Macaca mulatta: one gene and its partners. The protein of the gene in region 4 interacts with the protein of the main gene of each other region in a pairwise test. Links are inferred from orthologs where the notes say so. Each region holds a gene or a part of one and is shown on either strand. Other genes may lie near its edges. The genes, in order: ZC3H12A, MAGEC2, NDN, P4HA3 and NUTM1.

Region 1 (6,068 bases), on a different chromosome or scaffold from region 4:
TTTGGGAGAACAAAGCTCCCAAAATTAAGTTTAAACAAAGTGTGTTCTAAGAGACAGGCGGCGAAAGGGAGAAACAATGCTGGGGGCAAACTCCTGCTCTTCCTTCAAAATGCTTGTGAGATGTCACTGCCTCTGAGAAGCCTTCCCTGACCTGCCACAATGGGTCAGGTCCCTGGTCTGTGTCTTCACAATGCCCAGTGCTTCCCCCATCACATCATCCCCTTCCCTGGGCCTTCTGCCCTGCCTCTCAAAACCGTGGCAGCTGGGTCACCCCAGGCCCAGCTCCTTCTCTCAGGTATGCAGTGTGCGCATGTATCCACCCACCCGCCTCCCTCCGGGCACGTGATCCTAGGCTGGTATCTTGGAGCCTTGGGAACTAATGGGATGCCAGGGCTCCCAGGGCAGTGCACTGCCTCTGGGCATTGAAAATCTTGCCTGGGGACAAGTCGGTCCTCAGCAGCCCTAGCACCTGAATATTCCCTCAGCAGATGGAAAAACTGTGATCAGTGGGTGCTATCAGAGCCCTCTTGGTACAGCACATGAGGCCTGGAGTGCCCCCCTACAGCTAGCTTTAGTCTGTTTCACTGCACTGGAGGAAGCGCTGCTGGCACAGGAAAACCAGACATCCCTGCCCCCACCCCAGTCCTCTTTGCCCGTAAGGTCAGGGTCCCCCAGCCTGGCGAAGCAGACACTGATAGGAAGTGTGTGTAGAAGACTCCAGCTAGACTGCTCCTGCCCCAGGACAGAGGGCAGGGCTGGGCCAGCCTCCCCAGGTGAAAAGATATGCCTGGGCTGGGCCTGGTGAGTGGAGAAAAATTCCCTTAGAAGGAAACAGAGGTGAATTTCCCCATAATTTGCATATGATGGATGGGGGCTAGCCCGCCTGCCCCTGGGGAGGAGGGTGGCCGGGGCAGGAACCGAGTAGCAGCTGAGACAGGAAGTTTGAGGCTGGAATTCCCCTCCTGCCACTACCCCAGCTCAGAAACCCCCGAGGTGGGTGCGTAGCTCTGCTTCTCAGGAGCAGGCTCCTCTGAGCACCCCCCAACATCACAGCCCCTCCTCCCATGTCCCTCCTCCTTCTGGATACAAACACACACCGCACTCGGCTGCTCCCAGGGCTCAGCCGCTCCTGGCCCACGCCTCCAGAGGAAGGAGTCACACAGATCCAACCTAGCTCCTAGCCCAGCCACATGAGGCTGGACACTGAGAGGGAGCCCCCCTAATCTCGAAGCACAGGCTGTAACCTGCTGCCTCTTGGCATAGAAACTGGATTTTCTCAGCCTCCCACCCAGGCTCAGCCCAAGTCAGAGAGAGGAAGACTGGCCTGAAGGTGACAGAAGGAGGGAAGAGGCCTCAGCTGCATGCCTGCTGAGCCGGGCCAGGGCCAGCTGGACAGTGAACTTGTCCCACGGGGGCCACAAATCAGAGAGGGCAGAGGCCGATGTCATGCCAGCCTTGGGTAGCCCACCTAGGAGCTCCCTCGGGGCAGCCAGAAAAGCAGCCCTTCCCAACCCCGTGTCTGGGGTCTCCCCATCCATGCCAACAGGAACTTTTCCCTGTGAGCCATCCACCCAACACTGACTCATCAGCCTGCCTTGGAGGGAACTGGGAAAAAGTTAGGCCGGAGGGTGGGGCCTGGATTGACAGGAGAAGTCTGGGTTCCCCAAGGTCAGCAGCAGCCCTGGCTTCCCCCTCTGCCCCTACCTTCCCACCCCATTCCTGTGCTTGGGGATGGGGGTGGGAGTCACTGGGGGCTGAGTCCTGGCTTTGGCCCCGGGGAACCTCCAGAGACCAGTCCAGCCCAGGCTGCTTCAGCTGAATCAGTGGGGATCCAAGTCGCAGCTCACCTGAGGCCAGAGTATTAGGCCACTGGCCCACAACCCATGTAAAACTGGACCTAGCCTTGAGGTCACTCTTGGACATAGTCGCTGGACCTGTTTTTGTGGGAGCCTAGGTCTGAGACAAGAAGGCCTCAGAAGCCCAGCCCCTGAAATAACAACAACAACAACTGCTTACTACCACTGCCTACTACCACTACTTTGGTTCCCGAACGCTTGCTCCTCTCCAGGATCCGCATAACCCCTCCTCACAACACCCACCTGAGGAGATCAGGTTCAGAGGGTGAGTGAGCTGCTGCCCAAGGGTTGGTCCCCTTTACAGCCCTGCCTCACATTACAGAAGAGGAGCCGAGACAGTGCTGGCCTCAGGGAGGGACCCACAGCATAAGGCGAGCTCTGTGGACAGAGGGACCTGGGCTGGAACCCTGCCTCTGTCACCAGTAGCACGACCCTAGGCAAGCCTCATAAAAGGCTTTCCCTCCCTCTAGACCAGTCCCTAAGAAGACAGTCACTCCTTCCAGCCCACCAGAGCTGCAGACAGTCATCCTTCCATGTGTCCTGGCCACAAGAGAGATGCGAACCTCATGTGTCTCGGCCACAGAAGCGACACTTACCTCATGGCTACATTGCTCCCGTCGATGACCACTGGTCTTAGGTCACTGCCCTCCTTGTCCTCCTCTGGGAGTGGAGGTTCCAGGTTGGGAGCCTTAGGGGTGCCCCCACCCCGCGGGACTAGAGGGAGCTGAGGGCAGGGGTCCGGTGAGGCCTGGCGTTCCCGTTCGGTGGCCGTCCCGTGTTTCACCAGCTCGCCCAGCACCGTGTTGGTGTCTGCCTGGACGCCCAGCTTCTGTAGGACGCTGTGGATCTCCGAGGATGAATAGCCCAGCTTCCGGAAGAAGTCCACCTTCATCTGCAGTTCCACCGCCGAGGCCTCCTCAGCTGCCGGCTCTTGGGCTGGCCTGGGGGTGCCCTGACGGCTGTGGCTATGGCTGTCCTCAAATTCCCACAGACTCATGGTGGGGCTGGCTTCCAGGACAGGCTTCTCTCCACAGGGGCCACTCATAGCTCAGACTCCTGGAAGGCACCACACCACAGCTCCTACTGAACAACCAACAGGGTTAGGGACGGGGAATAGCGCTCTCTCCCACCCTCCCTCCCATCACCACACCCAGCAGATGAGGGATGGGTGGCACTACACACTACATCATGTTATTAGTTCAGGTTGTCCTCTCAAAAGCTCTCCCAGCTAGGCATTCCCATTCCCATTCCCATTCTATAAAGGGAGAAACTGACCCACAGACATTAAAAACTTGCTCAAGGTCATCCAGCTGTTAGCTGGTGGCTCGAAGATCAGAACTTAGTCTGAACTAAGACTGGAACTGCCCCAGCTGGAAAGACTCGAATCCCCACGCCAACCCAGGGGGCCCAGAAGGCGGGACGGGGTTTTCAGATGGAATCTTGGGGTTGGAAGTGCGTCGCGAGGCCCGGGGCTTCCCCACTGAGGCCATCGCTTTCGCCCACCCGTCCAGCACTCAGAGCTCAGGCCCAAGCAGCGCAAGGCCCGTGGCCGGACTCCCGGAGCCGGGGAGGGCAAGTTTCCGGGGTGACCCGCGGGGAGAAAAGTTGCTGGGAAACTCTGGTTGGCTGCCGGGAGCTGGTGACGCCGAGGCTGTCCCGGCCCGAGACCCGAGCCCGCTCGGTCCCCGATCCGGTGCTCTTCTCCGGCTCTCTCAACTTGGGCTAAGTTGGAGGGGTACTGAGGCCCGGCGGGCTGGATAACAGGACCCCGCCCTTCCCCACTCCTCCCCTCCCCTCGGCTCGGCTCGGCTCGGACCCCGCCAGAGCGCTCCCTGCCGCCTCCCCGCCGAGGCCCGCGCCCCGCCGCGCCTCACCCCGCCGAGCGCCAGCCGCGGCCGGCGGCGTCTCCATGGGGCCGAATCCCGGGGGAAAGGCCAGCGGCTCCTTTATATGGGGCGGCGCGCGGGCAGGTGGTGGTGAAGCGCTGACGCGGAAGCGGGCAAGGGGCGGGGCCGTCCGGAACCGCCCTGGGGGCGGGGCCTCGAGTCCCTTCCTGCTCCGCCCCTCGCGTCGCGGCCCCGCCCCCGCGGCCGCTGCGCGCCGGACGGGGCCAACCAGGGCGTCAGGGTCCTGGGGACGCCGCCTCAAGGCCGCGGCGGCGATGAGCTCCGAGCGGGACACTGAGCGGCCCGAACGCGCAAGATAAGCACGGACTGAACCAGGTACACGTACCTGCCGGGGACGCACTGACCGAGGTGCGTCCAGGACGAGTAAAGCCGCGAACGCTCGGACCTAAGAACTTGACAGGTACACCCTGCCTGATGAAGCTACGGCCAGGTGCGCATCGAGTGAATCAGGTACACAGAGGTTGGTCCACGCACCTTGGAGGCAGGTCCATGGTTATAAAGACAGGTACATCCAGACAGACCCTTTCCAGATGGAGTCAGGCCCCCTCAAGACACGCTGTGCTTGAAGCCATCACACAGAGGTGGGCCACCCCCAGGGACAGGTACACTTTTCCTGAAATCTGTACCTTACTAGGACCGAAAGGCAGGTTCAACCAGCAGATGCACAATGACCGAGGCAGAAAACCAGGCAAAAGAGGGCCATTTACCCCAATCACCACATGAGTGTCCACACAAGAATTCTGTCACCCACACCGCAGAACTCACTGACCGCCCCCACTGGAGGAACACCCTTGCTCCGTGAAGATGCTTTTAGTTTCCCAGGTCAGACCTGATTTCTCGCATGAGCACAACACTTCACTGTAGCTACTCGCGAGCTTACAGACAGAGGTCATTATGCTGATGTTACCCTTGAGAAATTCTGCAAAGGCTAAACTGCCCCAGCTGGAAAGACTCGAACCAGGATGGAGAGCTCCTATTCTAGTGCTCCTATTATTTGCCGTTTTGTGAACCACGGGTGATTGAGGGCAGAGGGGAGCCTGGCTTCCAGTGTGTGTGTGTGTGTGTGAGAGAGAGAGAGAGAGAGAGAAAACACAGGGCCCACACGCTGGAGGACAGAGCCGCATGCCATCAGTGCTTACCATGTGCCAGTCCTTTCTTACATTCTCTCTACTTCATCATAGGCATGTGTCCTATAAGTGCTAGTGTTATAATAAATACTTGTTTATTATAAAAGACACCATAGACACAACTGTACATGTACAGCTTAAAGGATAATAGTAATAATTTAAAAAGCCATGTATCCATCACTTAACTTAAAAAATAGACCAGTGCCAGTACCTTGAGGCCCTCTGGGTGCCCCCATCACAGCCTTCCCCCGACATCCTGAAGAACTAGTTTCCTGAATTTTAATTGTGCTAGTCATTCTCTTGCTTTTCTTGTAGTTTTACCACCTTTGTATGCATCCCTAAATGGGATATTGTATAGTTTTGCTGTTTTTTACTTTGTGTAAATGGAATCATTCCATAATTATGTGACTTCCTTTTTCATATAGGATTATATTTTCAAAAATCCATTTTGATTGCCTGCATACCTGTAATTTATTTTACTACTGAATAGTGTCCCGTTTTATGAATATCCCACTGGTTACTTATTCATTCACCTGTTGTTGGATGTTGTTTCTAGGATTTTTTTTCTATTAGAAAGACTGTGCTTTGGATATTCTTGTATGTATCTTAATGCAGTTGTACAGCGGAGGAAATGCATGTTCAGAGATTCAGAAAGGTGAAGTCACTTGCTCAGGTTCTGGGGGCTGGTGGAGCTGGAACTCATGTAGCTCTCTCCAAGGCAGTCCATCTCCCCATCCACACCTGCTTGTTTGGGAGGCCACCAAAGACCTCAGGGAGGCAGGCATGTGCGTCTCTAGCTGGGCCCTGAGGCTGTTCCTCGGGGCTTGCCTGCCCCTACCTAGCCGTGTTCCTGCTTTGTTGCCTGCTCATCTTTGAAGACCCCAAAGTGTTCCCTTCTCTGTGCCCCCCAGGCACAGCAGCTCCAGGGGCTTGGCAACCTGAGGAGAGAGGAAACACAAGGCCCCCTGCCATGTACAGCTCACATCCCTTGCTGGGCGCCTCACATGCTTGCTGTCACTCCAGCTGAGTACAGTGCTGGCCGCACCCCTAACCTCACAAAAGCCACTTTTACAGATGAGAAGAGCTCAGTTATGTTTTTTTTTTTTTTTTTTTTTTTTTTTTGAGACGGAGTCTCGCTGTGTCTCCCAGGCTGGAGTGCAGTGGCGTGATCTCGGCTC
Region 2 (5,957 bases), on a different chromosome or scaffold from region 4:
AATTTTAACAAATGGCAGTTACCAATGTAATTATAACCCCAAGGCTACCACTGTCTTTTATGAAAAATTTCACTCTTGTTTTCTGATCTAAAACATCTCAGAGCATATGTAGCTGAATATGTCATGGAGTACCAACTCAACCAAAAATCCGGCTTCATAAATGAAACTCAGTCCATTCTCTTTCCAAAATGATATATTGTATAATTTGGGTAAGTAGAGAATTCCCCAAGTGGAATGCGACTCAATGATCCTGGAATTTGAGTCAAGGACCAACTCCTTTTCGCCTTCCCCAATGCTCATCGATCCAAAGCACTAGTTTTATGTATCCTCCACTAAAAATCTAGCCCTTGCTTGGAGTTGCCCACATTAGATTCAAAATCACCTAATTAAATGGCCTTTCCATGGAGTAGGCTCTGGCTCTCCCACGCCAGGTAAGTGAGTCAGCCTAGAGGCTTCTGGGCACCACTTCAAGGGATTATCACTACATTTCTCAGGAAACCCTTGCAGATGATGGATATCAATCACCTGGTTCTTGCACTGTGTTCAAACTCACCAGTTACAGAGCCACAGGACACCTTCCATTACTTCCCCATGTGGAGACTCCTCTCTGCTTCATCCTCCACCCAGAAGCAACTGCTCAGAGCAATTTCCCATTCCAGGCTCTTCCCTCACCCTCCGAGAGTCTGGTCCCAGCCACCACCCAGCTTTGTAACTACCAGCCCTCAGAAAAGCAAGTGCAGTTTTCCAAAGCCCCAAGCTGCCTTAGTTCAAGACCTTTACACTTGAAGGCTTGCATGTGGAGTCTCACCTCCCCAGCCCCTTTTTAACTTGTTCTTTAGATTGTAGAGAACATCTTACCACCTTCTTGATATGGCTTCTGCTCCTAGACTCTACTGTTTTATGGATAGAGATAAGTCATGCTTTCATTAGCATCCCCACTACTAACAGTGACTTCCACAAGCAAATACTGAAAGAATGCTCAGCAAATAAAGGAGTCAGTGGGGCTTTCTTTTATTAAGATTTAATTTCTGCTACTTTCTTCAACAAGCTAAGCAAAGCCAGGTATATATCTTTAATTTTCAAGAACAAAAGAATAAGCAGGACAAGGAAATGAAAATATTGACCATCCTTCACGTTGTCCCACTATTTAACTGCTGAGTTATTGCGTATTGTAAAAAACAAACAAACAAACAAACAAAAAGCCTATTACAATACCACACTACCCTGTTACTGATCACAAAATAAGGGAGAAGGTATTTCCATTTTTTTTAAACAAAATATCAAACTGTTACTCTTAAACCAGATAAACAGCAATACATGTGTGACCAATATTCATAAATTAATGCTCTGAAGCTAACTACCTGCTATTCAAAGGAAAAGCATTCAAAAAGTACTGAAAAACAGGTAAATCTCCACATCGCCCATATGGGACAGAAATGCAAAGAACATTATGTTCCTCGAGCCCCACCTGGCCCTCCACTACCTAGAACCTAAACTGCCTTGTTCAAACACAGAGCGCAGAAACTATTCTAGACTTCACTCAGAAAAGGGGAGGTTGCTGGACATGACACTGAGGCTTTCAGTGGCCATGACAGTGGCATCATCTGTGGTATCAGTCATGGCCTGGGCTCTCTCTTCCACATCTTTCAAAGCATCCTTGTACCAGGATGGAAAGGAACTAGGGACAGTGTTGTTCAGCTTGGCTAAAAACTCGAGTACTTTACTCTTGATGCTTTCTGAATGGGCTCTCGGACCCCACAGGAATTCATAATATGGAGGAGAACTGTTTGGCACCTCCCGACACTCCAGGTATTGCCCCTGCACCCAAACTTTAGTGAGGAGCTCCCTGGGCTCCCCATAGATGAAGTGCTCCCTCCCAGCATACACCCCTATTGCATTCAGCACTTCCCAGATGACCTCCTCAGAGGCAAAGCTGCCCTTTATGAAGATCACACTCAGAATAATAATCAGGAGGCTGTTCTCCGGCATGCCCTCGTCATCACTACCCTCATCAGTGAGGTCTACTGTGTTTGCAAACACAGAAAAGTGGTCAGGGCCCACTTCTATCAGAGCAAGGCCAAAAAGGAGCTCCATGAACTCACGGGCTCTCTTGAGTATCACAGGAAAGTAGTCTTTGTACTTGATGACAATCATCAGCATCTCTGCCTCTGTTACAGGCTCCTCTGCTTTGTACCTGAGGAGCAGGAACGCCACTAACTCGGCCACCTTTTCATCTAGTGTATGTGTGAAAGAGGACTCACTGTCTGGCAGGCCCTGACAGGTACTTGTATCCTCCTCTTTTTGGCTGCTGGACTCTTCACTGAATGAGCTCCATGAAAAAGAGGAGCAACAGGAGCTCAGAGGACTCTGGGAAGGACCCTGTGGAGGACTCTGTGGAGGACTACTGGGAGTGCTCTCGGGAAGACTTGGTATCACATCAGACGGCACCTCCTCCTCAGGACCACCAAGAATCAGAGAAGAGGATGAGGAGAAGGAAGAGGGGGAAAATACTAAGTAGAAAGTGGAAGAGGAAATGGAGGAGGCTTCCTCCTCTTCCTCATCTGTGGGATCCTGTGCATCTACCCAGTCCTCTGACTCAACTGAGGCCGGAGAGTCGTCGTCAACGTTGTGGAATGGAACGCCCGGAATGGGAGGCATAACGACTTCTTCAGGCGCAGCAGGTAAAGGTATCAACAGGGATATGGATGATGAGATCCAACAGGCCTGTGGAAGAGAGTGACAGTGTGAATGGCCTCAGCTGAGAAACTCACCCATGATGGCTCTGACAAAGGCCAACTTAGAGCTCTTCTTCTCTTAAGGTGGTGCTCTAGGGCCTCACAGGTCTCCTGTCTTCCTAGGGAGTTTGTCTGCTGGCAACCTGTAGGAGGATGTGGGAACACACCTCAGGGCACAGCTGGCAGGCAGAGCCTGAGACCCCAGGAATAACAGTAGGTGGGTACCGCCGGGTGCTGTGGGGTCTCCTCTGTTTCTGGGGGTAGGGCCCTTGGTACACAGTCAGGGTGTGCACTCACCTTGACTCCTGGCACTGCCTGGGTCTCCTCTGCTGTGCTGACTTTAGGATGTGTGCCTCACACCCAGTTTGTCACCACCTGGTTCCTGGAGCACCTGCAAGAGGAAGTGACGGAGCCCCTCAGGTTAAAGACTACAAGTAGAGTCTTGGGCCTCCCAGGGCTGACAGCTGGGGCTGGCCAGAATCCCAGAGCCCCATAGTTCTGGACTGCATGGCCCCCTCAGAATTTAATTGGAAACCTCACGGCTTCTCAGAGAGGGTCAAGCCCCCACCACTCTGCTGGCCTAAGGCAAAACCTCCTAGCAACCTCCACATCCCTGAGAGCAGTGGGAGGTAGTGCAGTGGCAGCCACCTCCCAGGACTCTACCATGGAGGTGGTCTGGGTGGCCTCACGTCCGTTCTGATGCACATGTGACTCCTGTCTTCTGTCTTATCGCCAGCAGGGCCTGGGAATCTTCCCTCTGCCAACCAGAGGCAGCTCCCCGTGCTGACTTGCCACGGGACCCCCAGAACAAGGCCTCTGCCTCCCCTCCATCCCTCACCCAGAAATGAGATGGCTGCCACTCAGCCTGAGCTGGCAGGGGAGTTCTACGAGGGCTGATTCTCGAGGAGCAGGGTGGGAATCTGTGGGAATCTGTCCTCTGAGATGGGGGTTCCCCCAGTCCTCCTCAATGTCTTCCTATTTATTCCCTAGAGGGCTGGCACCTCCTCCCTTCTTCTGTGGGCATTTTCCTGTCTGGGACCTACCAGTCCCACTGCAGCGGCAGTGCAGGCCGGGATTTCATCTCTCTATGGTGGGAGGTCCCTCAGTTCTTCCTCAGGGCCCTCACCTTGTGGACTGGCCAGGTCTAAGACTCCCCGCCGCTGACTTGATTCGAATCTCCTTGCAAAATGCCTCCGATCCTTTGGATTCCCAAGATGGCCGTCTGGAAAGCACATCCGGGAACCCGGCCGTAGTGGTCCAGGGCTGACGGCAGCGTCAACGTGGGGCGGGGCCTCCTCTCTGGGGAGGAACCACTCCCCACCTCTCCGCTTCTTTTCCATCCCTTCCTTCCCACATCCCAGCTGCCCTCCAACCCTTCCTGCTCACTCCCTAAACCTTGTGGACCTTTTCACTCCCACCTCCCCAGTCCTTGACATCCCACCCTCCTTTTTCCAGGGGTGTCAGCAGGGAGCGACTTGGTGCAGCCTGCACCTCCCCTCCGTGTTGGGAGGTCACCGTCCTTCCACATCTCTTCTTGTTTTCTGGCCAGTTCTGGGACTTCTCTCTCTGCTTAACTGAAGCTGCCCTCCTCAGAGACAGCCTCCCCTTCTGCTGACTCCCAAAATAGAAGTAAGAAAATTGTACATCTGGGGACCCTGATGGGGTCCTCCAGAGTTGGCAGCAGGCACAGGGACAGGACAGAGGGCACTACCGGTCATGGGTGTTCCCTTCTTGCCCTCCTGAGAGGCTGTGCCTGGACTCCTGAAATGGCCTGGACTCCCTGTCTCTGTGCATCTGAGTCTTTCACCTGCGAATAAGCCCCTCCCATCCCTGAGACCTGCAAGGTGGAAGAGAAGTAGAATCACATCCACCCACAGTGGGATAGGGCCTCCTGGCCCTAAGGCAGGCCTCCACTGCCCTCTGAAATGGGGTGGGAAGGCCCCTATGGCTTTCTCAAGGTATTACTTCTAAAAGAGCCTATACTCCTTCCTTCTCCTGTCCAGACAGCAACATTTGTTCCTTCAACTTCTAAATTCCATTCCAAGTTTTTCTACTTTACTGCTGTGAGTGAAGTTAATATCATCTCTCCCATAGCCTGTGTGTTACAAGGCTTCCTTATTGTTGCTTCTTTTCCTATTCTAGTCCCTGAACAAAAATCACTGTCTTTTCAGCAACCCGTGACCCTTTAAAAAAACAATACGTGATTAAAGTTTTAAATACACACATCAGATTTAACTAGAATGTGAAGTTATATGTATTTTGGAAAATGCATGGAGTCCCATATCTGCAAATCAAGTATCATACTGACCGGTTCCACCTGCCTAAAATTCTCCTGTGCATCCCGGTTGATGTCAATCACTGCACTCTACAAAGCTCCTAGCAACTCTCTTCTGTTTTCAGTTCCTATAATTTTAACTTTTCTAATTTGTCATATGATTAGCTTCATAAAATACTGACTTAAAAGTATGCCTGTACTATTTTTTTATCACAACTAGCAAGGAATGAGAAATTCTGTTATTCTATATCTTCTCTTACATTTAGTATTTTAGATTTTCAGGTTTTAGCCATTCTCATAAGCATGTATTGGAACCTTCTTTGGTTTTTGTTTGTATCTTCTTAATGACATGACATTGGTCATCTTTTTATATGCTTCTTTTTTCGTTTGCTATATTCCCTTTTGTAAAGTGTCTATTCAAATCATTTGCATCTTTTTATAGATGAATAAACTTCATTTTTAGAGCATTGTTAATTCAAGAATACAAAGAGAAAACTTCATCAGAATTAGAGTTCCTACATGTCTACACCACCCGCCCTGCACTGTTTACTGCACACACACACGCACAGAGTCTATCTTTTTATTTACATTTTGTATTATTATGACATGTTTGCTACAACTGATGGACCTGTATTGATACCTCATTCTTAAGTCCATTGTTTACATCAGGACTCACTCTTAATACTGAGGATACTATAAATTTTGGTAAGGGTGTAATGGCAAGTATTCATCATTGTGTTATCACACAGAATTGTTTCACTATCTTAGAGCTCCACTGTGTTCCACCTAATTAATCAATCCCCCTTGCCCCAACCCCAACCCTCAGCCCCTGGAAACCAGTAATGTTTTTAGTGTATTCATCCTTGCCTGTTCCAGAATGTGGTATGCTAGGAAGCCTTTTTAGATTTTCTTCTTTCATTTAGCAGTATGCTTTCATGAGTCCTCCA
Region 3 (5,626 bases), on a different chromosome or scaffold from region 4:
ACAGCAGAGAGGGAAAGTGGACACAAAACAAGGAGTTAAATGGGGATGTAAAGGGACTGTTTGCCTAGTGATTTCTGGGCTTGACTGCAAGAAGTCCACAGGGGTTACAGCTCCTGCAAGGCATCAATCCAGCAGTGAGGGGAGTATTAAGGCATTAGAGAAAATGACCAGCACTGTGTGTGGCAGGAACAACAGCCCATAGTCCTACTCCAGAAACGAAACATCCTGGATATCCCCACAATTTTAAATGATAAGGGGCAGATTTATTTTGATTCTGGAGAAACTTTTTGATGGGTTGTGGGGAGGTAAGATTTCTAAACAATCCTAACACTTTTGAAGAGGTGAGACGTTCACATTGGTTTTGTGTAAGAGGTGCCATCAAAGCCAGGTCACTCCTGCCTGGGTGATTGCAGAAATGTCCCCCTTTCCCCACAGAACCCCCTTGAAAGACTTCACCAGAAGCTTTTAAACTGGGATGGATTTCATCTCAGCACGAACAGGGGCTTCAGCATTTCCAGCACCCGCCCCCACCTGTTAAGTAATGCCAGTAAGTGTTGGGAATTCCAGCTCCCAATCCAAATTATAATTCCCTCACCCTAATAGGACTCCCAGTTTACTTCTTTGAGGTGTTATGTGACACGTGTCCTCTTCATTATTAGTCTTCCACAGAAAAGTTTCTGGCTTTGGCCAAATGGTCTTTCCCACTCTTTTGTAGTTTAAAGGACTTCTGTTCTTATTAAAGCCCCTTTTGTCCCCCTTACCCCTTGCAGGACTAAAAATTCACAATGAGATTTTCCTTCAGGCATTGCCCCTAAAGCCCACTTGCAGCCCATCCCATCCTCTGAGGATTACCTAGTGGCTCACCGCAACTCAAGGGCTGCGAGGCCCGAGACATCCTGATGGGCAACCCACCTCCCTCTCTTAGGTGTCTTGTGTGTTTGTCAGAGAAAGCACCTTCACCTCCAACCCTCAGGAAAGATTGTTTCCAATCCCAGCTTCACTGCTCAACAGGAATATCACTTTATTAGGTTAATTAATCTCTCCAAAAGTAAGTTTCTTAATTTGCAGAATCAGAATGATATTGCTTTCTCCAAAATATCCTAAGAATTAGAAAAATAAAATTCCTAGCCTTTTTGTATGTGTGGCCCATGAACCCATGTGAGTGTGGGCTCCCACATGAAATTTCAATATAAAGTTAAAAATAAATAACCTAAAAACCACAGGGTGTAGGGGAGTTGAAGGCAGGTGGGGACAAATGTGGACTCTGGATTCATTGTGAGTTCTAGTCCTAGCGCCTTCTCTTATTAACCTGTATGAGCTATGGAAAGTCCATTACCTACATTATTCCTGTGTTTCCTCCATGGTGCAGAGGCAGTTCTTGCCTGCCTGACAGGCCTGTTGTGAGGATTAGATAAAAGGAGAAAAATACACGTCAGGGCTCATGTACAATGTCTCACTCTTTAAGTGCCCACAAAGCATCTATTAATTTTGATAAAATGTAGAAACTTAAGGGAAGGAAATTATTTTTGGTTTTTATTCCCATAGGATGTGATTATGGACAATCTTACTGTTTTGTTTTTTATGCTTTTCTATATTTGTGCATGTTTTTGAAATAAACATGAGTTAAAGACAAAACTACAAACTTCACAAATTTAGGAGTAATCATGAGTAGCGATTTTTCCCACCCCATTAGGGGAAATAGTTATATCTGTGTATACTGTAAAACAGAGAATTGTCTCATTCCCAACCATACTGCTTTGTTAAAATGATAACGTACACTTCCAGAAATGATTGTATCACAAGAATCTTTAATGTTTACTTTAAAGTTGACTCACGGTGGGGTTGTATATGTGTTTAGTAAAGTGTGCCAAGTGCTCTCACATTGAGACCAGTCCAGTTCAAATTAGTTTACTCCACGAGGATGTTTTCAGTCCCCAGCAAGGTCATGAGGGCCTTGACATTTCTTGGTTAGGCCGGCTTTGCTGGTGAGTTTTTCCAAACTCTGCAGGAGCAGTCTACCCCAACACACATCTCAGTCCCATGTAAATTAATAAGATGGAAACGTTCTCAATGTACTTCATCAGTTTAGCACGTCTCTGATACAAAAATCCAAGAAAGGTACCACAAAAGCGAAAGCACCAACCAAGCTTACATATAAACAAACATGCATACATCCTAAATACTACACAATAGTACCCAAATGAACACAACATTGCATTAAAGGTATAAAAGCACTGTACTGAAAACGTAAAAGTTACACGTGAATACTGCACTGTAAATCCTGAACACTCTAATGACCCACCCCCACCCTTCCACAGCCCTGGTGAGGATCAGAAAGCATTCATCTGCCTCCAGACTTGGCTAGTCCTCGGAGACACTGCTGCGAGGGCAGTGGGCAGCGGGATTAGCCTCCCGCAGAGCTCTGGCCTCCTCCAGAGCCTCTCTGTATCGGGAGGGCCAGGCCTGGGGGTCTTTCTTAAAGACCCTGGCCAGGAACTCCATGATTTGCAGCTTGGTGATTTCGCGGCTGGCCCGGGAGCCCCAGAAGAACTCGTACTCGGGCGGCTCCACGTACGGGACGCGCTGGTACTTCAGGTAATTCTGCTGGACGAACTCCTCAGTGATGAGCTTCCGCACGTCCCCGAAGGTGGAGTGCTTCTTCCAGGGCCGCAGCCCCAGGATGCGGAGCACGTTCCAGACCGCGCTCTCTCTGGCGCCGCGGCCCTTCACGTAGATGAGGCTCAGGATCATGAGGAGGAGACCTGTCATGGGCATGCGGTTGCTCAGCGCCACCCTGTCCAGCTCCTCGGGCTCCAGCGCTTTGACCAGCGCAAACTCCATGGTGTGCAGGCTGGTTAGCCTCAGGTGCAGCCCGAACACCCGGGCGAGGATGAGGCTGGTGCGCCGGAGGATGCTCCTGCACCACTTCTTGTAGCTGCCGATGACATCTTTCACCATGTCTGGAAACCAGATGATCATCTTCTTCTGGTCCTTGACCAGCACGTACCACATGAGCTCGTGCGCCTTCTGCACCAGCTGCGCCGGGGCTGGCGGGGCCGGGCCGGGCTGGGCCGCGCTCGGGGCCTGGTGGGCGCGGCCCTCCTCCGCGGCCTGCTGCAGGGCCTTCGGGTCGTCCTCGTCGCTCGGGGCCTGGGGAGGCTGCGCGGCCTGCGGGGCGGCCGTCGGGCCTAAAGGAGGGCTCTGCGGCTCTGCCAGGGTCTCGGACGGAGGAACCCCCTCCGGAACCCCAGGGCTGCTGTGCACCTCGGAGCTGGGGGCCTCGGCTGCAAAGTTAGGGTCGCTTAGATCCTTACTTTGTTCTGACATATCTGCGCCGTCTGGCAAGGGCAGGGCCTCTGCGTCCAGGAGCTCTTCAAGCCTGCGCTCCCTCCGCGGATTCCTGGAGAGGAAGTGCGCGTTGCTGTGCGCGGCGCCTTCCGCAGCGGCGGGCAGGGCGGGGCGGCGGCGGGACGCGGCACTGCGCCTGCGCGACTGCGGCCTTGGCCAGCGGCTGGGGGCGGGCGGGGCAGCGCGGAGCCCCGACGGGGAGGGTCCCTGGCTAAGCTTCACCTGCGGAGAGAGCGATCCCGGGGTTTCCCGTTTGGGCTGAGGGGATCTAGGGCAGGAGAAGAGTGCGATGGATGCGTACTGGAGAAGGGGCCAGTTTAGGAGAAAGATGATAACTTAAGTTTTTGGGATGTTGGGGTCAAGTTTCTTGGGAAACGCTTACCTGATATATCCAGAATTAAGTTAAATATGAGCGTCCCAGAGAAAGGTCTGGGCGGCTGTGTAAACTTGAGCTTTATGCGAACGAGTGAGAGGAACAGTCGGGCTTGTCCAAGAAAATGTGTAAAGTGTATGTCTGAAGTTGGAATCCTGAGAAATTCCAATAAAAAAATGATTGACTCCCTCCCTACCAAATCAGAGGGGTTGTAAGAAAAGGAGAAATGCAGCGTGTCCTTAACGTAATTTCCTGTCAACCCATGTGAACTATGAACCTTTTAAGTAGGCAGCGGACTTAGAGCATCATTAATGCTTTAGTGGGCATAAATTTGAGTTTTACATTTCCTTTGGGTCACTTTGATTCCATTTTATTTTTTTCCATACTTAGTCCACAGCAGAAGGATTGCTATATCTTTTAGCACAAACTTGTATAATAATGTCTTTTTCCCTCTGCCCAGCACCCTTATTCTCCGATTCACCTTCTCCCAGGACCCTCTCTGAAGCTACTGAGTCCTCCACGTTGGAAGCCACACCCAAGTCCTTCCTGAGATTTAAAAAAAAACAACTAGGTCTCATAGGTAATATCTGGTAGTGTCTCTGAGATGACCCAAGGGTAGCAGGGGCAACATGGGTAACCCTGTTTTCTAAGTATAGAAGACAGATTCCCACTGGGCAAAGACAAAACTCGCTCCTACAGGGTCTCCCTGAAAAAAGGGTCATTGGTGGAGCCTCTGAAACCAAGGGCCTTGATGCTGCTTCAGCATCCTTGGTCTGGGCTGATGTGGTCCTTCAGCGCTTCCAGCGTTTCTTCTCATCAGTAGCTTCTTAAATATGTTGAGTCTAATTATTGCCACTCGAAGCCAAAAGCACATTTAAAAATTGTCTTAACATGTCTAGAGTCCTCGCTGTGAGTATGTATCTTTTCCCACTTGTCACTTTATTTTTCCTCAAGCAGGTTGATGTTGAAGGGTTTTCTGTGCTCTCTCTCTTTGGGTTTGCATGCACATAACACTTTTGGCAGAGCCATTCCCACACCAGTCCTTCCAACAGGCTCTTTAGCTTCCCACTTCACCAGGGTAATTCCTAGATATCAGTCTTAGTTGGAATTATTTCAACACTTTTCTCCTTCTCCTCTTCCTCCTCCACCTCGTCCTTCTTCTCTCCGTCTACTTCTCCTTCTCCTTCCTCTATTTATGGATATTTACCACTTTCTTGGGAGCATCTTACAGAAATATGCTAATTCATTGTTTTGTAATCCCAGCACTTTGGGAGGCCGAGACGGGCCGATCACAAGGTCAGGAGATCGAGACCATCCTGGCAAACACGGTGAAACCCCGTCTCTACTAAATAGTACAAAAAAACTAGCTGGGCGAGGTGGCGGGTGCCTGTAGTCCTAGCTACTCGGGAGGCTGAGGCAGGAGAATGGCATAAACCCGGGAGGCGGAGCTTGCAGTGAGCTGAGATCCGGCCACTGCACTCCAGCCTGGGCGACAGAGCGAGACTCCGTCTCAAAAAAAAAAAAAAAAAAAAAAAAAATGTCTCTTGAACAGACTTATTGCCCCCATGCTTCTTAAATATAATCCTCATTTATTGCATTTAAATCTCCATCAATATTCTTCTTTATTTTATTTGGGTATGTATTATTTTCTAACTATTTAAATAAAATATTTAGGCCAGGTGCGGTGGCTCACGCCTGTAATCCCAGGACTTTGGGAAAGCGAGGCGGGCAGATCGCCTGAAGTCAGGAGGTCGAGACCAGCCTGGACAACATGGCAAAACCCTGTCTCTACTAAAAATACAAAAATTAGCCGGGTGTGATGACAGATGCCCTTAATCCCAGCTACTTGGGAGGCTGAGGCAGGAGACTCACTTGAACCTGGGAGGTGGAATTTGCAGTCAGCTG
Region 4 (5,443 bases):
TTTACAGTCATCACCACTTCCTAAACTCCTTCCTTGAACCCAGTCCATTCTCCGTCGCTGTCGTGGTTCAGACTCTCCCTGTCTTGTGCTTGCAGTTTTGAAGTGGCCTCCTCCCCACCCTCTCACACATTTATATATGTGAACAAGTCATAGTTTTAACAGTACCACTCTCACTTAAAGCCTTCTCTAACTTGCTGTGGCCGAATTAGTCATCCCCTCTCTGTCCTCCCCACCAAGCCTTGTTCTTAAATCTGGTATTGCATCTGTAATGTAATTATTTGTATCTTCCTTACTCACTAAACTGTGGATCCTTGAGACCAAGATTATTTCCTTATTCAGAATTTTTTCCTTAGCTCCTAGGAGAGTATTCTTCATTCATTCTTTCATAGAAATATGTATTGAATTTAGGTATAGAGTGATGAGAAAAAAAGTTATTTTCTTATCTGTGAAATCCTTGAGTATTGGACCCCATCTTGCTTTTGTATCCCTAGAATCTAGCATGGAGTCTGACATCTAGCAAATAACTAGTGTAGATTGACTTACTACAAATATATCTCAAGCCTCTGTGCCTTTGTACACTAATGGTTCCTGTTGGCTTGAAAAATACTCTTCTTCTCTTCTTTGTTCTAGCTCCTTAAGAAACCATATAGCATAATCAGCTGAGAACTCAGGTTTCAGAGTTAGTCAGACTTGGGTTCCATCCTGGCTTTGCCCTTTACTAACAGTGTGGCTTTGTTTCTGTTTCCTCTCCGTGGAATGGGTAAAATTAAATCTACACTAAGTGTAGGTCCGAAGGTGGGGGGCGATTAAATGAGACAACCTATTTATAGCGCTCAACAGGCCAATACATGGTAGGAGCTCAATAAGTCATAGCTTTCAGTATTTTAACAAATCCGTTCAGATTCAGATCAAATGCCATCTCTTCTTGGAAGCCTTTCCTTCCCCCTTCTAACTCCCACCTGGGTGAGCTGCCCTGCCTGCACAGCTGCAGCATTATATGCTCACTTCTCTCATAGCAGAGACGTCCCCAACCCCTGGGCCAGGGACTGGTACCAGTCCATGGCTGGTTAGGAGGCGCCCCCCGCCCCCCAGCAGGAGGTGAGTGGTGGGCAAGGGAGCATTACTGCTTGAGCTCCGCCTCCTGTCAGATCAGTGGCGGCATTAGATTCTGATAGGAGCGTGAACCTTATTGTGAACTGCACATGCGAGGGATCTAGGTTGTGTGCTCCTTGTAAGAATCTAACTGGTACCTGATGATCTGAGGTGGAACAGTTTCATCCCAAAACCATCCCCTAATGCCCCTGGTCCGTGGAAAAAATTGTTTTCCATGAAACTCATCCCTGGTGCCAAAAAGGTTGGGGACCACTATATAGCACACATCACAGTGGCTATAATTAATTCAATAGTGTTTTTGAGTTTCTACCAGATACTAAGTATTGCATATACAGTGATGACAGGAGAAAAAGACTTTGTGATCCCTTTGAGAGCTGGACCCTGTCTTGCCTTTATATCTCTAGCATGGTGCCTGATATACAGTAATTGATTAATATAGACTGACTCATTCAATGAACAAAAGAGCAGACCTACTTTTGTTGTATCTATAGTTTTCATATTCTTTGTGCTTGCATGGCTTTTTGGTTGGACTATTATGTGAATCTCAAGAGGTTCAGCATGTCAATGTTAGCTACTCTTAATGTACACACACCATGCCAGCTTTCCCTAGGTGTAGTGGTCGTATCAGGAGGTGAGATCATTCTACTCCTTTCTTTCAGATTCTATGACAAGGTACTTTCTTTGCATGAGGATTCAACAACCCCTGTGGCTAACCCTCTGCTTGCATTTACTCTCATCAAACGCCTACAGTCTGACTGGAGGAATGTGGTACATAGTCTGGAGGCCAGTGAGAACATCCGAGGTAATGAGGAGGAGGGCTGGAGGGTAAGAGAGAAGATTCTATCTCCTGACTGGTGGTAAGGAGAGAGATTCTGTTGGGGTGTGATTTCAAAGGGTAATGGAGTAGGTGGGTATTACTTAATATCCTTAGTTCTAGCTAGCACAAAGAATTAGCCCCCCTTGCTAATCGGTTTGTATGATTATACATTATACATTATACAATCCTGTGACGAAGTACAAGATAAATCCTTCCATTTATATATGTATAGAAAATAACCGTCTTCTAGTAGTTTCTGTTTCATTAAATTGTCACTACAGTGTCATCTATAGCAAGATCACTTTCCCAATTTATTCTGCTTTGTGCTTTAAGAAGTTTGTTGACGGCCGGCCCAGTGGCTCATGCCTGTAATTCAGCACTTTGGGAAGCTGAGGTGGGCTGATCACTTGAGGTCAGGAGTTCCAGACTGGCCTAACCAACATGGTGAAACCCCGTCTCTATTAAAAATACAAAAATTACCAGGATGTGGTGGGATTACATGCCTGTAATCCCAGTTACTCAGGATCTGAGGCAGGAGAATTGCTTGAACCCGGGAGGCAGAGGTTGCAGTGAGCCAAGATCGCACCACTGCACTCCAGCCTGGGGCGACAGAGTGAGACTGTCTCAAAAAAAAAAAAAAAAAAAAAAAAGTGTTGACTTTTGGGCTGGGCGCAGTGGCTTATGCCTGTAATCCCAGCACTTTGAGAGGCTAAGATTGCTTGAGCTCATGAGTTTGAGACTAGTCTGGGCAATATAGCGAAACCTATTAAAAATACAAAAATTAGCCAGGCATGGTGGCACATGCCTGTAGACTTGGGAAGCTGAGGCACAAGAATCGCTTGAACCCAGAAGGTGGAGGTTGCAGTGAGCTGAGATTGAGATTGCACCATTGCACTCTAGCCTGGGTGACTGAGCAAGACCCTGTCTCAAAAAAAAAAAAAAAAAAAAAAAAGAAGTTTGTTGATTTTTGGAAAGCTAACAGTGAGAAGAGGCTGGGTGCGGTTGCTCTTGCCAATAATCTCAACACTTTGGGAGCCTAAGTTGGAAGGATCACTTGAGGCCAAGAGTTTGAGACCAGCTTGGGCAACATAGCAAGACCCTGTCTCTACAAAAAAATGTATTTAAATTAGATGGATGTGATGGCGTGTGCCTGAAGTCCTGCCTACTCAGAAGACTGAAGTGAGAGGCTCACTTGAACCCAGGAATTCAAGCACGAGCTATGACCATGCCACTGTACTCCAGCCTAGGCAACAGAACAAGATCCTATTTCTATTAAAAGAAAGAAAGAAAAGAGGAGAGAAGAGAGAAAAAAAGAAAAGAAAAGAAAAAGAAAAAGAAGAGTTGTTTCCCTAAAGAGCAAGACTTCTGGAGACATACAGGATAGGACAATATAATGAAGCCGTGTGCCTTAATTTTTATTCCTCATTCACTCATTCTGAATGTTCCTCATTCAGAATTGCATTAAGCATCCACCCTGTGCCAGGAACTGTGCTTGCCTCTGGGAACACAAAGACAAATCCAACTTGATCTCACTAAATATTTGAACAGGTGGTCATGCCTTGCATGTATTAAATGCCCAACTCCTGTTTCTTGAATGACAGGTTGATGTTTTTACTACTTTTACAGCTCTGAAGGATGGCTATGAGAAGGTGGAGCAAGACCTTCCAGCCTTTGAGGACCTTGAGGGAGCAGCAAGGGCCCTGATGCGGCTGCAGGACGTGTACATGCTCAATGTGAAAGGCCTGGCCCGAGGTGTCTTTCAGAGAGTCACTGGCTCTGCCATCACTGACCTGTACAGCCCCAAACGGCTCTTTTCTCTCACAGGGGATGACTGCTTCCAAGTCGGCAAGGTAACAATATTCGAGAGAGGACCAGTTGCTTGGCTCTGGTTTCTTATGGATGAAATACCTGTGTCCCAATTGCTTTTACTTCTTTTTAATACTTACAGTAAACTGGGAAATTTGATATTTCCATTTTCAGAGAAAGAAAACAAGATTCAGAGAATGTAAATAATTTGCCCTAAGATTATGCAATTTTAAGTGCAGAACTAAAGCTTGAACCCAGTCTTGACTCCAAATCTCAGGGCCTTTCCATAGTAATAAAGGTGTTTATATGCTTAGGACACTCTTGAGATTGAAAGGGGTGTTATTAATTATGCTAGAACAACAGACATGAACTGGGGAAAATGGTCCTTTGGTCACCCTAACTATAGCACCCGGCCAGTGCATGAACCCTTGGGTAGAAAGGGAAATCAGGGGGTCAGGGACACAAGGTTGGGGAAAAGGATAAGAGATGGTGATGGAAAGGTAGGATCATGGAAACAGCCTCCTGAGACTTTCTGGAATCCAATGCAACATTTCCTAAGCATTTAGAAATACAAAATTAAAATAGTGTCCAAAATCTAAGGCCATTTGCTTTAACATTACTTGAGGAAATAGACTTCAGGAACACCCCCCCACCCATCTGAGGTCTTTAACCGATCTTTGATTATAAGTTGTAATCACACTTGAGATCATTTTGTAATATACTCTTTGCCAGCCTTTGCCATAAAAAGCAATGGAGCAAATCCATTTTACCTTTGAAGGTGTTTATTGCAGTAAGGTGTATTTTTCCTGACACCTACAGTATTTGTCAACAGATCTGGGAGTGGGTCTCATGTGTCCTGATTCCAAATTTTGGGAGTCAGTCTTCCAAATTAAAGCAGAGTGGGCTGCTTGAGTCTCTCTACTTACCGTTTTCTCTTTTATGGGATCCTGAGCGGAATCAGAGCTCAATCATCATGTTCATGGCTGATTTAAATTTAAGCCAGGTAAATAGTTTGATGTATGGTACTAACATATTCTTCATTAGTGAGGCCTTTCTGAAAGTAAAGCCATATGTTGAAAATTTAGTAAGTCACTTCCTGGAAGTCTTACTGGCAATCTTTCTTTCTGTATTTATTTACTTATTTTGAGAGAGAAAACTTTTCAAATATAAGAAAAGGACATAAAATAATATAGCAAGCAATTATATCTATCATTGTCATGGATATATGTTCAGATTTTGCTATGTTTGTTTCATTTTTTAAAATATATTTTTTAAAAAAAAAACATGTTACATACAGCTAAAACCCCACTCATCCTCCTTACCACTCACCCCACCCCTTCTGCTCCACCCTTGCCCAGGTAGCCGTGATCCTAAACCATATAGTATATGCCCTTCTGAGTCCAGCTTCTTTCACTCAGCACATTGTATCTGTGGAATTCATCCATATTGTATCATTTGTTAGTAGTTCATTTCTTTTTATTGCTGGGTAGTATTCCATTCTATGAATATGCCACAAACTGTTGATCCAGTCTTCTGTTAACAGATTCTTGGATTGCTTCCAGTTTGGGCTACTGTGAATAAAGCTTCTGTTAACATCCTTTTATGTCCTTCTATGGACATTTATTCTCATTTCTCTTGGATGAATACCTGGGAGTGGTATTGCCAAGTCACAGAATAAGCTTCAATAATTATCAACATGTGGCCAAA
Region 5 (6,080 bases), on a different chromosome or scaffold from region 4:
TTTGATATCATAGAAAATAAAGATTGCAGAATTAAAATACAGACTCCACAAAACAATTTTAAAATCTATAGCACTAGGCCGGCCAAGGTGGCTCATGCCTGTAATCCCAGCACTTTGGGAGGCTGAGGCAGGAGAATTGCTTGAACCTGGGAGACGGAGGTTGTAGTCAGCCACCACTGCATTCCAGCCTGGACAACAGAGTGAGACTGTCTTAAAAAAAAAAAAAAAAGCCCACCACTAAATCAATGAGTTCAAAGATAAGTTAATAAGGAGAAAAATCAGACTAAACAGGTTAAGTAACTTTCTCAAAGTTATACAAAAAGGAAATATTGGTCTTCTTTCAATTCACTGCCTTCTCTCTATAATATACCTATTACTTTTTCAAGTACTCTTCCATTTTTAATCAAAATGTTATTTCAAGGGATGAGAAATTACGTGACAACAGGGGTATTTTTCAGTGAATGCTGACAGCTGTGAAAGTCTTAATCTTTCTTCCCCAATACCCTCCTACCACTAACAGCACATGACCACTCTTGCTACAGGACTGAAGTTTTTCTTCCAAGTGGTGTTGTTGCAACTCTCTGGAGTGCTCTCGTCCATCATCTCCCTCCCTTTAAAACAATACTACCAATCCTTTCCTCCAACAACACAAAATAAGAGCTTTTCAAATCATTTTATCTTTAATAATCTGGTAGTAACTTAAAATACGAAAAAAAAAGTCAAACGTGTTCCCTTTATGGGTGATGCCACCATGACTGCCTCACACAAGCATGCTCAATCACCAGGATGAGACTGGATGCCACAGAGTATGGCTGGCAAAAAGGCATCAGGGCTCACAGACTGAGGAGTTTGGTTACGGAGTCTCCGAGGGGTAACAGGCCGCAGAATAGACATCAGTTTAAGGGGCCTTCAGAGGACAGGGCGCGGTTGCTGGGTCATGAGCACCTTGAAGCGTTTCTTGATGGTGATTCGGTGTCGAGAGTATTTGTCATCTGGGGAGAACCGAGCAGGATGGGCTGAGCAGGTCTGTTGTCCCATCGGGTCAAATTTCTGCTCCGGGAATAGAGAATGTATGTCAGTACAGGAGTGATGGGGTGGGGACAGCGCGAAAAAGGGCAAACATGAAAACAGAAGATGCAATGATCAGCTCAAAAAGTTGTACAAATAAATAGAGAAATACAAAACTTAAAAAGGCTGGGCGCGGTGGCTCACGCCTGTAATCCCAGCACTTTGGGAGGCCGAGGCAGGAGGATGGCTTGAGGTCAGAAGTTTGAGACCAGCCTGGGCAATATGGCGAAACCTCGTCTCTACAACAAACAAACAAAACCAACCAACCAAACAAAAAAACCCTAAACCAAAAATTAGCCAGGTGTGGTGGCGCACGCCTGTAGTCCCAGCTACTCGGGAGGCTGAGGCAGGAAGATTGTTTGTGCCCAGGAGGCGGAGGTTGCAGTGAGCCGAGGCACTACAGCCTAGGCAACAAAGCGAGTCCCTGTCTTAAAAAAAAAAAGAAAAAAAAAGAAAAAAAAGAAAAGTGAGTGCAATGGCGCTATCCGGGTTTACTGCAAGCTCCGCCTCCCGGGTTTAAGCGATTCTCCTGTCTCAGCCTCCCAGGTAGCTGGGAAAACAGGCGCACGCCGCCACGCCCGGCTAATTTTTGTATTTTAGTAGAAACGTAGTTTCACCGTGTTGCCCAGAATAGTCTCTAACTCCTGAGCTAAGGTAATCCACACGCCTCGGCCTCCCAAAGTGCTAGGATTACAGGCGTGAGCCACTGCGCCCGGCCAATTTTGTTTTTTTAAAATAAAAAATTCGTCGCGCGCTCCCGGTTCTCCCCCACCTCGGTTCTGCACTTTCTGGTTCCCTCCACCCAGCTAGGTAACTCCGTGTATGGCCTCACCCATTCCTCCCATCTACATTTCTCGCCATGCCTATTTACAACCTATTTTCTCTCCTCACCTTCAGCGTATAGACCCGATCTCCCTCCTCGTTGAGGTAATACTGGAGAAACATGACTGCTCGTAAGCCAGAGGTCCCAATTCGCTCCGCTGCTCCGTCTGCAGGGGTCCGCCCGACCGCGTCACGTGTTCGTCAATTTCCTTCCTGCATAGCCGGAAGTCTCTCTCCTGGCACGCCGGAAAATGTAGTCAATTTTTGCCTTATTTTCAGCTAGCCAGAAGGGGGCGCACGAGGGCAGGGCTTGGCTTGGGGGGCCACACTTGCAACTTTGCAGGCTAAAACACGTGGAGTGTGCCTACTGTGTGCTAGGTACACGGCGCTAGAGGGGGGTAGGGATGGATGTGGATAGAACATTGACGTATAGAAGCTTGTCTTTATCTCAAGATACACACCCCTTTCAGGAGCAGTGAGTTTCCAGTGCCTGAAGAAACAAGGGCTCCAGGATTCAGAGCCCCTTTGCCCTAGGGAAGAAGGAAGAGGTTTTCTTCCCTCCCCTCTTTTACATCCAGTTTCCCTGCTCCATTTCAAAGCGTTGGCGGTAAAGAATGCATGTTGAGTATCAATATTCCGTAAAGCGAAAATAGCGTAAAGTTATTTTATGAAACGAAGTATGTTTCAGCGGTCGAACCAAGATTTAAACTTAGGTCCCTACCGCAAATTCAGCGCTCTTTCTTATAGTGGTGAGTAGCTAATAATAGCGTAATAAAGTGCACCTTCTAGGAGATTTTACAATTTTTTAAAGAATATAGAAGTTCTCCTTATTCGTTTAAAGAAATGAAAATGAGAACCAAAATATAATTACAAAGATCATCATTACGCCTTATTTATAATGACAAAAGCGTTGGCATATATGTTGTGTAACCAGAAAAACCTGCAAGGTTTTTTTTTTTTTAGAATATGGTTTGGCCGGGCGCGTTGGCTCACGCCTGTAATCTCAACACTTTTGGAGGCTGAGGCGGGCGGATCACAAGGTCAAGAGTTCGAGACCAGCCTGGCCAATCTGGCGAAACCCCGTCTCTACTAAAAATACAGAAAAAATTAGCTGAGTGTGGTGGTGGGCGCCTGTAGTCCCAGCCACTTCAGAGGCTGAGGCAGGAGAGTCATTTGAGCCGGGGAGGCAGAGGTTGCAGCGAGCTGAGATAGCGCCACTGCACACCAGCCTGGGTGACAGAGTGGCACTCCGTCTGAAAAAAAGAATATGGTTTGTGACCGGGTGCAGTAGCTCAGGCCTGTAATCCCAGCACTTTGAGAGGCCGAGACAGGTGGATCACAAGGTCAGGAGTTCAAGACCAGCCTGGCCAATATGGTGAAACCCCGTCTTTACTAATAAAAATACAAAAATTAGCGGGACGTGCTGGCGGTCACCTGTAGTCCCAGCTACTCGGGAGGCTGAGGCAGGAGAATCGCTTGAACCCGGGAGGCGGAGGTTGCAGTGAGCTGAGATCACGCCACTGGTCTCCAGCTTGGGTGACAGAGCAAGAGACCCTGTCCCAAAAAAAAAAAAAAGATATGGTTTGTATTTACTTGTAGTTGAATAAAAAATCTCTGCAAGTATTCACAAGAAACAGATGATACTGGTTTCCTCTGAGATAGAGAACCTAGTTACAGGAGAAAGGGGTAAGGGGTGGGAGGCAGACTTATTGCTATGTATTTTATTTTGTAGTTTGATTTTTGAACCTTGCTGATGTATTACCTGTTAAAAATTTTTTAAAGGCCGGGCGCGGTGGCTCATACCTCTAATCCCAGCACTTTGGGAGGCTGAGGTGGGTGGATCATGAGGTCAGGAGATCGAGACCATCCTGGCTAACACAGTGAAATCCCGTCTCTACTAAAAATAGAAAAATTAGCCGGGTGTGGTGGCGGGCGCCTGTAGTCCCAGCTACTCAGGAGGCTGAGGCAGGAGAATGGTGTGAACCCGGGAGGCAGAGCTTGCAGTGAGCAGAGATCATGCCACTGCACTCCAACCTGGGCGACAAAGCAAGACTCTGTCTCAAAAAAAAAAAAAAAAAAGTATGTCTAAGTAGTTAATTTTGTTAGAAAGGAAAAGGATGATTTCAGCCTTCAGGTCTTATTAATGAAAGAGTCTTTAGAAAAGAGAAAAGATATCTCAGAGAAAGCAAGAAAGACGCCATGAACCCCAGGGAAGGTCTTTTGGGGGAAATCCACGTTTGGATGAAGCTGTGGCTGTAGAGGATGGTCTGGGAATTACTGGCCTGAAATAGTCACCAGGAACCTTAGCAGATACATTTTATTTTTAAAATTTAAACCAAAATAATTTAACAAAACGAAGGACTTTCTACTCTTGAGGTTTTAAACTGCATGGCAGCTTTTTTATTTAGTGAGGCTTTTCAGCAAAGGGTAAGGCTTCTGTGGAGTACAGAGCCTATGCTAGTAGATTGGACAGCTTTCCAAGGAAATGATGTGCACACAGCAATCGAGCACCTTGGATCATCTGACAATTCTAATTTTAGACTTTAGTTCCCTTGATCCTTAAGTATACAGACCAATGTGGTCTGAATTTAGTTCAGAAAATATAGCCATCATTGGATTAAGTCAGGGGTCTACCATCGACCTGCTGTTAATAGGAAGTCAGTTACAGAACTGGCTGGGATGGAAGGACACAAAATGAGATATGTTGGTGAAGAATTGAAGTATAGGGAACCAAACTCAAAACAGTAATGTGTTGGGAATCTGAGAAAGAATTTACAAATAGCCCTAAAGGGCGAACATCAGTTGTGTTGCCAAACTGTAGTTTGAAGGGAATTCCTGGTTTTTGCGTAGTTACTAGAACCCTTCATGGAATATCTCTCCCCACCCTCACCCCACTTTTCCCTCTCCCCTCCCCCACAGCAGACTGCCTTGAGTTCCATATTCTAGTTCTGTTTGATCTGATCTTTACCTTCCCTTCCTTGGATCCCTGTGCACCTACTTGGAGCCAGGTTACTCTGGGTCCTGGACCTGACTGCCTCATTCTGGAGGCTTCCAGACAGCCACGGTTAGTGCCCAAAGCTGAGAGGATGGCTTCAGATGGAGGTAAGTCTTTAGGTGGTGAGGAGGATTTCTGGTACCTGCTCAAATCCTTTGGGACAAGCTCTTTGGGCTGACCTAAAGGAATGCGAGGTGCTACACCCCATCAAAGGTATCCCACTTGGGGAGGCTAGAGAAGGAGACTGTACCATTAAGACTAGGGGCCGGGGAAGGAAGAGGACCTCCTTAAGGGCAGATCAAGGTGTCTCCGAGGACACATGCTGAGTATAGAGAATGGATGGCAATTAGCAACTTGATTCTCTTGAACAGGGGGCACGTCAGCGTGTGTTCTTGTGGTGGGAGAGGGGATCAGAGGTATGTGTCTTAGGACTGGCACCGAGAGGTTTCAAGGGGGAATGCCCACGTTCATTCATCTGTCTCTTTCAGGCAACTGGAGCCTATTCTAGGATTTTGCCATGCTTGAGCCTATGAGGGGAATGGGATGTGGAGGATGGAGGATGGGAGGGTAAGGTGGGAAGGACTTTAGCGGGAAAACATAATCTGTAGTTATCCGTTGCAGAGAAATGCCTTCCTGAAAACTAGGCTGGAATGTATTATAAACTGCCTCTACTCTGGCCGGGCACGGTGGCTCATGCCTGTAATCCGAGCACTTTGGGAGGCCGAGGCGGGCGGATCACCTGAGGTCAGGAGTTCAAGACCAGCCTGACCAACATGGAGAAACCCCATCTCTACTAAAACTACAAAAAAAAAAAAAAAAAAAAAAAAAGCCGGGCATGGTGGCGCATGCCTGTAATCTCAGCTACTCGGGAGGCTGAGGCAGGAGAATCCCGTGAACCTGAGAGGCAGAGGTTGTGGTGAGCCAAGATTGTGTCATTGCACTCTAGCCTAGGCAACAAGAGCGAAACTCGGTCTCAAAAAAAAAAAAAAAAGAAAAATCCTGCCTCTGCTCAGAGCCTCACGGCTCCTTCCAGCCCTAGAGGTGGCTTCGCTTTGAGTTCAGGAAGCAGTTTTTCCGGATTCATCCGGGCCAGAGAGGTGGGTCATTACAGCCAGGATGAGAGCTGGGGCTTCACCGAGATGCTCTTAGTTTTTCTTCCTTTTATGGATCTCAGGCCTTCAGGCCCCTTTCATTG

What was found.
Region 1: the proteins of P4HA3 (region 4) and ZC3H12A interact in binary tests that used the Homo sapiens proteins (3 or more experiments, as listed by UniProt). The two-hybrid records come from large-scale screens. The link is inferred for Macaca mulatta from reciprocal best matches to the Homo sapiens genes P4HA3 and ZC3H12A.
Region 2: the proteins of P4HA3 (region 4) and MAGEC2 interact in binary tests that used the Homo sapiens proteins (3 or more experiments, as listed by UniProt). The two-hybrid records come from large-scale screens. The link is inferred for Macaca mulatta from reciprocal best matches to the Homo sapiens genes P4HA3 and MAGEC2.
Region 3: the proteins of P4HA3 (region 4) and NDN interact in a two-hybrid assay, tested with the Homo sapiens proteins (2 studies listed by BioGRID). The link is inferred for Macaca mulatta from reciprocal best matches to the Homo sapiens genes P4HA3 and NDN.
Region 5: the proteins of P4HA3 (region 4) and NUTM1 interact in binary tests that used the Homo sapiens proteins (3 or more experiments, as listed by UniProt). The two-hybrid records come from large-scale screens. The link is inferred for Macaca mulatta from reciprocal best matches to the Homo sapiens genes P4HA3 and NUTM1.

The regions. Positions count from the first base shown.
Region 1 is NC_133406.1:203,321,526-203,327,593, forward strand, and holds the start of ZC3H12A (endoribonuclease ZC3H12A), read right to left. Parts: upstream 3,875-6,068; 5' UTR 3,731-3,874; intron 2,940-3,730; exon of another isoform or gene 2,937-2,939; 5' UTR 2,902-2,936; coding exon 2,453-2,901; intron 1-2,452. UniProt on the Homo sapiens protein: Endoribonuclease involved in various biological functions such as cellular inflammatory response and immune homeostasis, glial differentiation of neuroprogenitor cells, cell death of cardiomyocytes, adipogenesis and angiogenesis.
Region 2 is NC_133426.1:148,496,435-148,502,391, forward strand, and holds MAGEC2 (melanoma-associated antigen C2), read right to left. Parts: upstream 3,976-5,957; 5' UTR 3,862-3,975; exon of another isoform or gene 3,779-3,861; intron 3,127-3,778; 5' UTR 3,033-3,126; intron 2,725-3,032; 5' UTR 2,659-2,724; coding exon 1,537-2,658; 3' UTR 1,071-1,536; downstream 1-1,070. UniProt on the Homo sapiens protein: Proposed to enhance ubiquitin ligase activity of RING-type zinc finger-containing E3 ubiquitin-protein ligases.
Region 3 is NC_133412.1:6,263,616-6,269,241, reverse strand, and holds NDN (necdin), read right to left. Parts: upstream 3,442-5,626; 5' UTR 3,328-3,441; coding exon 2,362-3,327; 3' UTR 1,521-2,361; downstream 1-1,520. UniProt on the Homo sapiens protein: Growth suppressor that facilitates the entry of the cell into cell cycle arrest.
Region 4 is NC_133419.1:74,711,390-74,716,832, reverse strand, and holds part of P4HA3 (prolyl 4-hydroxylase subunit alpha-3), read left to right. Parts: intron 1-1,772; coding exon 1,773-1,915; intron 1,916-3,556; coding exon 3,557-3,780; intron 3,781-5,443. UniProt on the Homo sapiens protein: Catalyzes the post-translational formation of 4-hydroxyproline in -Xaa-Pro-Gly- sequences in collagens and other proteins.
Region 5 is NC_133412.1:11,535,528-11,541,607, forward strand, and holds the start of NUTM1 (NUT family member 1), read left to right. Parts: upstream 1-2,024; 5' UTR 2,025-2,557; coding exon 2,558-2,639; intron 2,640-6,080. Other genes in the region: NOP10 (H/ACA ribonucleoprotein complex subunit 3), read right to left, coding at 910-1,050, 1,960-2,013. UniProt on the Homo sapiens protein: Plays a role in the regulation of proliferation. Regulates TERT expression by modulating SP1 binding to TERT promoter binding sites.